3 linked regions of the Arabidopsis thaliana genome follow. The protein of the gene in region 1 interacts with the protein of each later gene in a pairwise test. Each region holds a gene or a part of one and is shown on either strand. Other genes may lie near its edges. The genes, in order: HB32, AT3G22660 and IAA29.

Region 1 (3,176 bases):
CCGTAAATCTCCATAATCTCACTAACCACATTCTCCATAGCTTCATTAATCACAGGTATCATCATGTTTTCACCAATCGGTTTGATTCTAATCAAAGAATCAACAATAATCTGCATCTTACGAATAATCACAAGTCGAATCAGAACCGATGATTCTTCGTTGTATCGATGACGATTCCCATCGTGAAACAGAATCGATCTTCGATCAAGAAACGCGAAATAAGCACGTACGAAGAGATTAAACCCACCGGATTTGCTCATAATCCGTGAATTACCTTCGCCGAAACTCGAAAGATCGAAAGGTAACCGTCCGATCGATTCTGCTACGGTTGATTTACAGAGGAAGAAGCCGTGCATTAGCATTAAGCCTTTTAAAGCAACCGCCCAGCTTCGCGTGCGTTTCACGCGAGACGAGATTAAGCTTACGAGAGGCTTGAGGCTTGACGGGCTAGAGAGAACGTGACGGTAGATGAATTGAGCGCTCTCTGTATCAATGGAGAGCTCGTCGTGGCTTGTAGCTTTCACAACGGCTGCTGTGAGAATGTCATCAGCCGCGATGAGACTAGGTCCGTCTTTGAGAACTACGGCGGCGCGTTTCCAAAGCTTCATCTTCCGACTAATGTGTGTGGTTTCAAATTGTTAGTTTCTATTTCGCGCTTTATAATTTTCATTTTAAACCGTGTTTTGTTTTCTTTGATGTCAATTCTTTGCTGGTTTAAAACGAATTAGATAAGGATAAGCTAAAATTAAGAAATCTCAGTTTTGACCAAAATAAAAAAAGATATTTTTGATGTCGTTACTAAATTATTATCTTCCATTTTTCAGTTTAACTCGATTGATTACGTAATAAGTTCATTAGATAAGTGTTGTTTGGTTGGCTTTTCTATATGTTTCGTTGATTTTGTTTTGAGGCAATTTTCTAGTGTAGTAGTGTTGTAATCGTATATAATGTATGTGGTTTGAGCAAGTCAAATTATGACTTTGTTTGTACAATATGGAAATATACATATCTTAATTATTAATGGTGTGATTGATATCGTTAAGCCGTAAAATAATCGTTTAGCTTGCTAAATTACACACAAAACATAAAGTAGGCAAATGAACATATACGATAGTGAATAGTCAACTCGTGGGTCACACAATTGCTTTTTTGCTAAACCTCTTAAAAGAAAGCGTTTCAGACTTCTTTTTGCAATAAAATCAGATTCTTTGAAAACTTTTGATCTTTGCTTCTTAATTATAGTTTCATTTTAGTTACAATATATTATTGATATTTCTCAATTTTACAAAATTAGTTTCTTAAATCTTACTTTTATAAATCAAAATACTTCTACTTATTTAGAAACATGTGACCTCTATACAATCCAAACTTATTAAATTTGTTTATACCTATATTAAAAACTTATTACTAATATATTAGTACTAGTTTACTAGTACTAATTAGCCGCTATAGTTTTACAAAAAGTGGTTTAGTTTTCTTATTCCTCATTATTGCTACTACACTTAACCCAATGGATTGAAAGAGTTAACTATGGGTAGAGATGACAACTTTATGAGCTGAGAGGATACGAAATTATGGATGTGTAGAAAAGCAAAGCCAGTGAAACAGTTCAAAAAGTGGGTTTTTCACATTTATTATGACAACTAATAAACACGTAAGTACAAAATCTTAAAGCAAGTAAGTAACAATAATTTTTGCTCTTTTTGTAACTCCCAACTCTTTCTGACACAAAAAAACACCATATCATAACTTAAGTAACCCAAAACCAAACTCTTCCAAAACAAACCCTAAACGCAAAAATCATTACTCAAAAAAAAACAAAGTCTCTCTCTTCTAATTAGAGAGCCAAGAAGATGCAGAGTACTTGTGTCTACAGAGAATGCATGCGCAACCACGCCGCGAAGCTCGGCTCTTACGCCATCGATGGCTGCCGTGAATACTCTCAACCATCCACCGGCGATCTCTGCGTCGCCTGTGGTTGCCACCGCAGCTACCACCGTCGTATAGACGTCATATCTTCTCCTCAAATCAATCACACGCGCTTCCCGTTCACGAGCTTAAGGCGCGTGAAGCAGCTGGCGAGGCTGAAATGGAAAACGGCTGAGGAAAGAAATGAGGAGGAGGAGGATGACACGGAGGAGACTTCGACGGAAGAGAAGATGACGGTGCAGAGGCGGAGGAAGTCAAAGTTCACGGCGGAGCAGAGAGAGGCGATGAAAGATTACGCGGCGAAGTTGGGATGGACGTTGAAGGATAAGAGAGCGCTTAGAGAAGAGATAAGAGTCTTCTGTGAAGGGATTGGTGTTACTCGTTATCATTTTAAAACTTGGGTTAACAATAATAAAAAGTTTTATCACTAACTAATTAACTAATATCCTTAATTGAGATAATACTATAATTTAGTTCCAATTTCATTTTCATCCCTTCTGTGTTAATTTCTCCTCCTTGATCGCTTATTTTAATGGATTATTATTTTATCATTAGTGGGTTTAATGTGTTTGATTTGGACATGTCCTTAATTACTAACTGGTTCACTCTTTAATTGGTCTTTATGATTCTTCTTTTTACGTCGGTGGGATTTGAGTTTTGACAAGACAACTAGCTGACGTTTTATTTATGGTCAATACTGTTCGCCAATCAGAATATTTATACGTAATAATATTGAAGTAGTTGAATAGTAGTACTAATTATTATGGGAAAGGATGGCAAAATGACATTTTGTTTTGATAGAAAATTGTAAAGATTACATATCTAATTCTAAAATTTGTAAATAATTAATGGTAAGATATATTTCACGTAATGAAAAGACAATTAGTTACGGAAATAACACAACATTGTGTTTTTTCGAGGTTTGTTACTAAAAATTATAATGACATCATCAAAGCCAATAAAAGCTGTTATGCTTTTTTTTGTAGAAATAGTCATTTCAAAAATAATTTTTATACTTTTTGCTTTTTTATAAAGTCGTAAAACCATATACTTAAAAGTATATACCAATAAAATTGTGAACTAATTGATTCATAAAATTGTAACTTTGCTACCATTATACCAAGCATCCCATTCCCACGAAAGTTTCAACTTTAATTGGGCTTTTGTTGGCATTTCAAGGCCAATAAGAACACCTTTGAGAAAACTAAAAAACATAGCTCTAGTCTACAATTATTCTAGTGTTTACC
Region 2 (3,949 bases), on another chromosome or scaffold:
ACAGGAGAGAAGTCTGCGTTTAGATTCAAACGGAACAAAATGCTCACTAAGCTTAGGATTAGTAAGCTTGTTTCGTATACTTTACCTCGGAGAATCTTCCAACGGAGGTTTCTGGTAACGAATAACACTGCAGAGGAGTCGCCGATTGTTGCCGCAGAGTCACCGGAGCTACCGTCTTGGATTAAAGACTTTCTATCAAACAAGCCTTCTTCTTCATCGAGTTCGGTTTCCAAAGATGATGAAGATTTTGTTATCCCTTCTTTGGCGAATTGGGTCGAGAGCCAGAAGTTTAGTCGTCAACAAGTCTCAGAGGGAAATGTAGTGAAGAAACCAGTGGAAGATATTGATAAAGTTTGCGACTTTTTGAATAAGAAGGACACGTCTCATGAGGATGTTGTTAAAGAGTTGAGTAAATGCGATGTGGTGGTTACAGAGAGTTTGGTTTTGCAAGTTCTAAGAAGGTTTAGTAATGGTTGGAATCAAGCTTACGGGTTTTTCATTTGGGCAAATTCACAAACAGGTTATGTGCATTCAGGTCATACTTATAATGCAATGGTTGATGTGTTGGGGAAATGTAGGAATTTTGATTTGATGTGGGAATTAGTCAATGAGATGAACAAGAATGAAGAATCTAAGCTTGTTACGCTTGATACGATGAGTAAGGTTATGAGGAGATTGGCCAAGTCAGGGAAATATAATAAAGCTGTTGATGCTTTTTTAGAGATGGAGAAGAGTTATGGTGTGAAAACAGATACTATTGCTATGAACAGTTTGATGGATGCACTTGTGAAAGAGAATAGTATAGAGCATGCTCATGAAGTTTTTCTGAAGCTTTTCGATACAATCAAGCCGGATGCGCGGACATTCAACATTTTGATTCACGGTTTTTGTAAAGCTCGGAAATTTGATGATGCTAGAGCGATGATGGATTTGATGAAGGTTACTGAGTTCACTCCTGATGTTGTTACTTACACTAGCTTTGTGGAAGCTTATTGCAAGGAAGGGGATTTTAGGAGGGTTAATGAAATGTTGGAAGAGATGCGAGAGAATGGGTGTAATCCTAATGTTGTGACTTATACTATTGTGATGCATTCTTTGGGTAAATCTAAACAAGTAGCTGAAGCTTTAGGAGTGTATGAGAAGATGAAAGAAGATGGTTGTGTTCCTGATGCTAAGTTTTATAGCTCATTGATACATATTTTGTCGAAGACTGGTAGGTTTAAGGATGCAGCTGAGATATTTGAGGACATGACGAATCAAGGAGTTCGTCGTGATGTTTTAGTCTACAATACCATGATTTCCGCTGCGCTTCATCACTCACGAGATGAGATGGCTCTACGTTTGCTTAAAAGGATGGAGGATGAGGAGGGGGAATCATGTAGTCCAAACGTTGAGACTTATGCTCCATTGTTGAAGATGTGTTGCCATAAGAAGAAAATGAAGCTACTTGGAATATTATTGCATCACATGGTGAAAAACGATGTTAGTATCGATGTTTCGACATATATTCTTCTCATTAGAGGGTTATGTATGAGCGGGAAAGTTGAAGAAGCTTGCTTGTTCTTTGAGGAAGCAGTACGAAAAGGAATGGTTCCTAGAGATAGCACTTGCAAAATGTTGGTAGATGAGCTTGAGAAGAAAAATATGGCAGAAGCAAAACTCAAGATTCAGAGTTTGGTTCAATCGAAAACAATGATTGATTCTCACAGTCCTTTATCTGTTTCGTAGAGATTAGAGTTTTGGAGCCTTGGCTCAAAGTTTTGTTTTCCTTTCTGTTGAATGATACTCTTATACTATGTTAGATCTCAAATCATGTGACCTTTACTAAAATGAAATGAATCAATTTGTCACAAGTTTTCATGTCTTAGATCCGGTTTATAAATAGTAACGGGAACCAATTGAGCGATAATTTGAACCCGGTATGATCCGGTTTTGTGAGATTTCCGGTTTAGTATAAAGCAGAAAAGGGTTTTACAAAGTCGAAGCCTTTAAAACTAAGTTTCTTCTTCTTCTTCCTTGCGCCGGCGGGTTCACTATCTCTCTTCTCTCTCTCAAAAACCCTACTCAAGCACAAGCTTCTTCAATCTTCTCCGTAATCAACAGTAAGTTTTCTTCTATTCCTTCTCAAAGGGTTTGTGTCAATAGAATGATAAACCCTAATTTTGTTCATGGTTATAATCTTAAGTCCTTAGATAAAGTATCGAACTTTATTGTCATATAGAAGGTAACGGAACCAGTTATGGAATCTCTCTTTGCGTTGGTGACTTATAAACCCTAGTTTCTGTGATTCGCCAAGTTTTTTTTTTACCCAAAGGTATAAAAGTCTGAACTTTTTTGATTCTGAATCTAATTTTGTTTGTTGTTATCGAATTTTGAGTAGATGTCATTGGAAGAGGATATAGTATCAGATGATGAGATGAACATGATTGATGAGGATGATGCTACTGACTCCGAAGCGGAGTCTCTTTCGGATTCGGATACAGAGAACGAGATCACCGAGAAATTGGCTGAGCCTACGAAGACTGCGATATACAACAGAGATGGGTTGCTTGATAAGCTTCAAGATATTAGCTGGCCTGAAGATGTTGATTGGACTCATAAGCTTACTGTTGAGATTGACCAGGGAGGAGCTGTGGATGTAAACGATGACCTTGCGAGAGAGACGGCGTTCTACACTCAAGCGCTTGAAGGGACAAGAGAAGCGTTTGGTAAACTCAATGAAATGGGTGTGAATTTTCTCAGGCCTGCGAATTACTATGCGGAGATGGTGAAATCGGATGTTCATATGGAGAAAGTGAAGTCTCGGCTTTTGCATGAGAAGAAACAGATTGAGGAGTCTGAAGAGAGGAGGAAGGCTAGGGATAATAAGAGAATGGCTAAGGAAGTACAGTCTCAGAAGATGAAGGAACGTGCGAAGGAGAAGAAGGATAACATTGAGTCTGTGAAGAAGTGGAGGAAACAGAGGCAGCAGAGTGGGTTTAGTGATAAAGCTGGTGAGCCTGAACTTGATTTCGAAAGTGGAAAGAGTTTCCAGAGAGGAGGAGGTAAGAAAAGACCAGGTGTGTCTCCCGGAGATCGATCAGGAGGTAAAGGAAGGCCTACTTCGAGGATGGGCAACAAGAAGAGGGAGTTTCGGGATTCCAAGTTTGGTCATGGTGGTAGGAAGGGTTTGAGCAAGCAGAACACAGCAGAGACGACAAACGATTTCAAAGGCGGTTTCCGTGGTGGAAAAGCTAGCGGAAACAAGAGGCAGAAGAGGTAAAAGGTTTGATTATCTAAACCCACTTCAAAACTACTATAAACTATTTGTCTTCTTTGTTTTTTTTAAGAACATGTATTTTGTTTTGGAAACCCTGTGGTAAGGGTCTTAGAACCAATACAATTTTGTACTAGTGATTACTTGAATTAACAAAGTCCCTTGTTTGAAGTCTCATAGTTAACACTTGAAGTTGAAACTTTATATGATAGAAATACAACAAAACAAAGCTTAGAGCATACAAAAAAAAAATCCTGAAACCAGTAGCAACCCTAGGAAGTTTTATTCTGGAACTGGAACCAGACTTGGAACATATGCATAACCGCAAACAAAAGGCCTATTATCACTACACAAATCACATCGTCCTGCATCAATTTGTTTCTTCACTATTCCATCTTTACTAATCATGCAAACGCTAACGCAAACATCATCATCGGTTTCCTCTTCGGTCTCTTGCTCACACCATACCATGATATTATCGTTCTTGTCAATGAAATAACTTGGATGAGTGAGATGTTGATCAGTATGTAATGTCGGGAGATCAGGGCTAGTCACGTCTACGTACTTGGTCCATGAGACTACCTCATCGCTCAATTTGTTTGTGATCCAAACTTCGATCTTCATTGTTTCTCCACTTTGATGTAACAAAGAAAGCCTATCTCCTCTTAAACTCGATAAGGCTGCCGTGTCTAA
Region 3 (3,783 bases), on another chromosome or scaffold:
TTCAACCTGTTACGTTGTATGATTGTATCCTAGTCAAATAGGGGAGGAGGTACTAGTCGTTTCAATTAGTTTACGTAATCAATCCAAAGAAACTATAAGCTATAAAGATCCTCAATTTGTTGGTTACAATAAAAACAACAGTTGTCAAAATTTATGTTTATAAAAAGTAATAACTATGTTCCTTCCCATATAGAGCAAAGTACCTCAGGATAGGCAAACCGTACTTAATAGCCCTTATTCATAATTTGATCCAACTCTTCCCCACAAAATTGCAACTGATGAAGTCAATACTTGTATAGTGAGTCAAGCTATAAATGTCTAGTGATAGTTTTGTCTCTTAAAAGGTTAACAAAAGTTATGACAAGCTGAAAAATCAGAGTTTGCTAGGAGTATTACTTACAGTTATCAGTTTAAGTATCACATTTATAGTATTGTATACAATGATTCTTAAATTCCACCTTTTCCGTGCGAAACCAAATTTTCTATTGGAAACATAGAATGTAAACAAAAATATGGGACGTTGTCCGTTCCAACATTAACCAAACTTGTCTATTACTAATATTCGTGTTGGTTTGATGTTGGATGTCTAAATTCGTTGAATCATGTGTCTCTTGACGAAATATGCATCTTCTTATTTCTTAGTATAGATGCACTTTATCATTCTTTTAGTACATGCTTAATTTTTTTTTTTAAAATATGTTGATTGTCATATTGCCAAAAGTATGAATTAAAGACGCACATCTAACACAAGTTAGCAGCCGTAAATCCTTCCATAAATTTATTTTGCAAGTTTTGCTCATTATATAATGAGCGGAATTTATGATATAATCGTTTGTAATAATGTTATGTTTTGATCAAAATTTGAAATTAAAAGTAGGTGAGAACTTGTTATACAGTGTAGATAAGGTGGATCTTGAATATAAAAATAAAATTTATAAGATGTATTTAAAGCAGAAAAGCATAAAACTTTAGATAAAATAATGTAAAAATGTGTTAGCATCAATGTTGGGATATTGGCCGACCCGAACTTAATCAATGTCGGAAGCCATTACTTCTCTCCCAAAAGACCTTTTTCCTTCGGAGAACTAGGAACTTCCTCACTACCTTTCGCTTAACGTGAAAGCCATAAATTTCATATATTCATAAAAATCAGAAAATCTAAAACTGTTTAGTATCACCTGTTTTTGGTATAGACTATTGGTTTTGTGTTACTTCCTAAACTATATGATTTCGTACTTCATTGGATCTTATAGAGATGAATATTCGTAAAAAGATAAGTTATCTGGTGAAACGTTACTTCAGTCATGTTGGGTCTAGATTTACATACTACTATGAAACATTTTAAGATAATAATTATCCTAGCCAACTATATGTTCTATATTATGGGCCAAGAAGATATAGAACTAAAAGTTCAGAATTTAACGATATAAATTACTAGTATATTCTAATACTTGAATGATTACTGTTTTAGTTGTTTAGAATAAATAGTAGCGTGTTGGTTAAGATACCATCTATCCACATCTATATTTGTGTGGGTTACATAAAATGTACATAATATTATATACATATATATGTATATTTTTGATAAAGCCATATATTACTCCTTGACCTCTGCCCCCATTTCCTTTTACTATAAATAGGAATACTCATGATCCTCTAATTCAGCAATCAACACCAACGAACACAACCTTTTCCAAAGCCAATAATAAAAGAACAAAAGCTTTTAGTTTCATCAAAGACGAAGCTGCCTTAGAAATGGAGTTGGATCTTGGTCTATCTCTTTCACCTCATAAATCTTCCAAGTTAGGGTTTAACTTTGACCTCAACAAGCATTGTGCGATCGAGGGTGCTGCGTCTTGTTTGGGTACCGAAAAACTGCGTTTTGAGGCGACGTTTGGGTTAGGGAATGTGGAGGAAAATTGTTATATGCCAAAACAGCGTTTGTTTGCCTTGAATGGCCAGCCCAACGAGGAAGACGAAGATCCTCTGGAATCCGAGTCTTCAATAGTTTACGAGTGAGTACCTTGACTATTTTAGTATTTGACAACAATTAGGTTAAAGTAGTTACATCTAGTATTATTATATAATAAATGACTCCGTAGTTTTCAAAAATGTTATGATGTTGTAGACTTGTAGTTAACTCAATGGAGAGGCATAATTTGTATTTTTTTGTAACATATAATTAATTTTAATATTTAGTGATGAGGAGGAAAATAGCGAAGTTGTTGGATGGCCACCAGTAAAAACATGTATGATAAAGTATGGTAGTTATCATCATCGTCATATTCGTAATCACCATCATTGCCCGTATCATCATCGTGGTAGGAGGATCACGGCGATGAACAACAACATATCTAATCCAACAACGGCTACTGTGGGATCATCATCTTCTTCGTCAATATCATCAAGATCATCAATGTATGTTAAGGTTAAGATGGATGGTGTGGCAATAGCAAGAAAAGTGGATATCAAGCTTTTTAACTCTTACGAGTCCCTCACTAACTCCTTGATCACTATGTTTACCGAATGTAAGTACTAATTACGTTTATCAAAATCTAGAGTAAGAAACCTATAAACAATTGAAAATAGAACGTAACTTTTTACTACTATTGAATCTAATTTTGGGTTATCAGATGAAGATTGCGACAGAGAAGATACAAATTATACATTCACCTTCCAAGGGAAAGAGGGTGACTGGCTACTTCGAGGGGATGTTACATGGAAGTAAGTTTACTTCTCTATATTTCAAGAAAAATGACTTATTGAGTAATGACTACTATACTCTCTTTCTTATATATTGATACTTAACTTGTTGTTTTGGTTTTGTAGGATCTTTGCGGAATCTGTTCATCGGATATCAATAATTAGAGATCGACCGTGTGCATATACAAGATGTTTGTTTTAAGGATAGGCGTTCAAATCGGACCATTATTTTTTATTTTGTAATTAAAATGTCTATCATTTGATTAAATTTCCACTCGATCTTTTTCCTCTATTCTTCTAGTTCTTAGTATCAAATCCAATGGTTTATAATCTGTTGTTATCTGATCCATGGCTAACACATGGACAAAAAGCTAAAGAAAATTCAAAAGTAAAAAAAACTCATGAATTGTCAAAGACAGACTAGCTGATAATAATTAAGATGTTAGACTTTTTGTGTGTACCGAATTGATTTTTTTTTCATAGACTTGTTTGATTGAGAAACCATAAGAATGTAATGGTTGCGGACGTCCGGGTTTTACACAAGTAAGTATGTCACTTTATGTGATTCAAGAGATTTCCAAGTAATTAAATTTTGGTTTGAATTAGATCGGAGTACGATTTTAAATTGTGAGTAAACAAGGGGAAAAAAAAAAGCATGAGTAAACAGAAAAAAAATGACATAAAAACTGATACATTTCTTAAACAATTTAATTAGCTGAATAGCTGATAACAAAATTTAAAATGAATATTATTGATCTTAGCTTAAAATGCGTAATTTAGATTAAAATATTAATCAATAATGAATGATATATAAGAAAATCTTTTATTAAAATGGTTATTATATTTACAATTTGCATAAAATTATATCATAAGTTTATAATCTTTAAATTAAATAATATGACAAACATAATCTTTATATAAGGAAAATAGATATTTTAGTGAAATTTAGAGAAACACAACTTTAGATCTACTAAAGTTATGAATGAAACAATCAAACAACTGTAAAAAGATCCCTACAAAAATTGAAAATTATTTAATTACCAAACAAAACAAAAAGAAAAGACATCTTCACCGATACGT

The links.
Region 2: the proteins of HB32 (region 1) and AT3G22660 interact in binary tests that used the Arabidopsis thaliana proteins (3 or more experiments, as listed by UniProt).
Region 3: the proteins of HB32 (region 1) and IAA29 interact in binary tests that used the Arabidopsis thaliana proteins (3 or more experiments, as listed by UniProt).

Annotation. Positions count from the first base shown.
Region 1 is NC_003070.9:5,046,193-5,049,368, forward strand, and holds HB32 (homeobox protein 32), read left to right. Parts: upstream 1-1,589; 5' UTR 1,590-1,853; coding exon 1,854-2,360; 3' UTR 2,361-2,561; downstream 2,562-3,176. Other genes in the region: AT1G14686 (ENTH/ANTH/VHS superfamily protein), read right to left, coding at 1-608. UniProt on the Arabidopsis thaliana protein: Putative transcription factor.
Region 2 is NC_003074.8:8,015,550-8,019,498, reverse strand, and holds AT3G22660 (rRNA processing protein-like protein), read left to right. Parts: upstream 1-1,990; 5' UTR 1,991-2,102; intron 2,103-2,380; coding exon 2,381-3,262; 3' UTR 3,263-3,448; downstream 3,449-3,949. Other genes in the region: AT3G22670 (Pentatricopeptide repeat (PPR) superfamily protein), read left to right, coding at 40-1,728; CEG (F-box and associated interaction domains-containing protein), read right to left, coding at 3,539-3,949. UniProt on the Arabidopsis thaliana protein: Required for the processing of the 27S pre-rRNA. Plays an important role in plant growth and senescence by modulating ribosome biogenesis in nucleolus. Associates with ribosomes.
Region 3 is NC_003075.7:15,581,724-15,585,506, forward strand, and holds IAA29 (indole-3-acetic acid inducible 29), read left to right. Parts: upstream 1-1,608; 5' UTR 1,609-1,755; coding exon 1,756-2,015; intron 2,016-2,199; coding exon 2,200-2,528; coding exon of another isoform or gene 2,529-2,539; exon of another isoform or gene 2,540-2,633; coding exon 2,634-2,724; intron 2,725-2,829; coding exon 2,830-2,905; 3' UTR 2,906-3,175; downstream 3,176-3,783. UniProt on the Arabidopsis thaliana protein: Aux/IAA proteins are short-lived transcriptional factors that function as repressors of early auxin response genes at low auxin concentrations.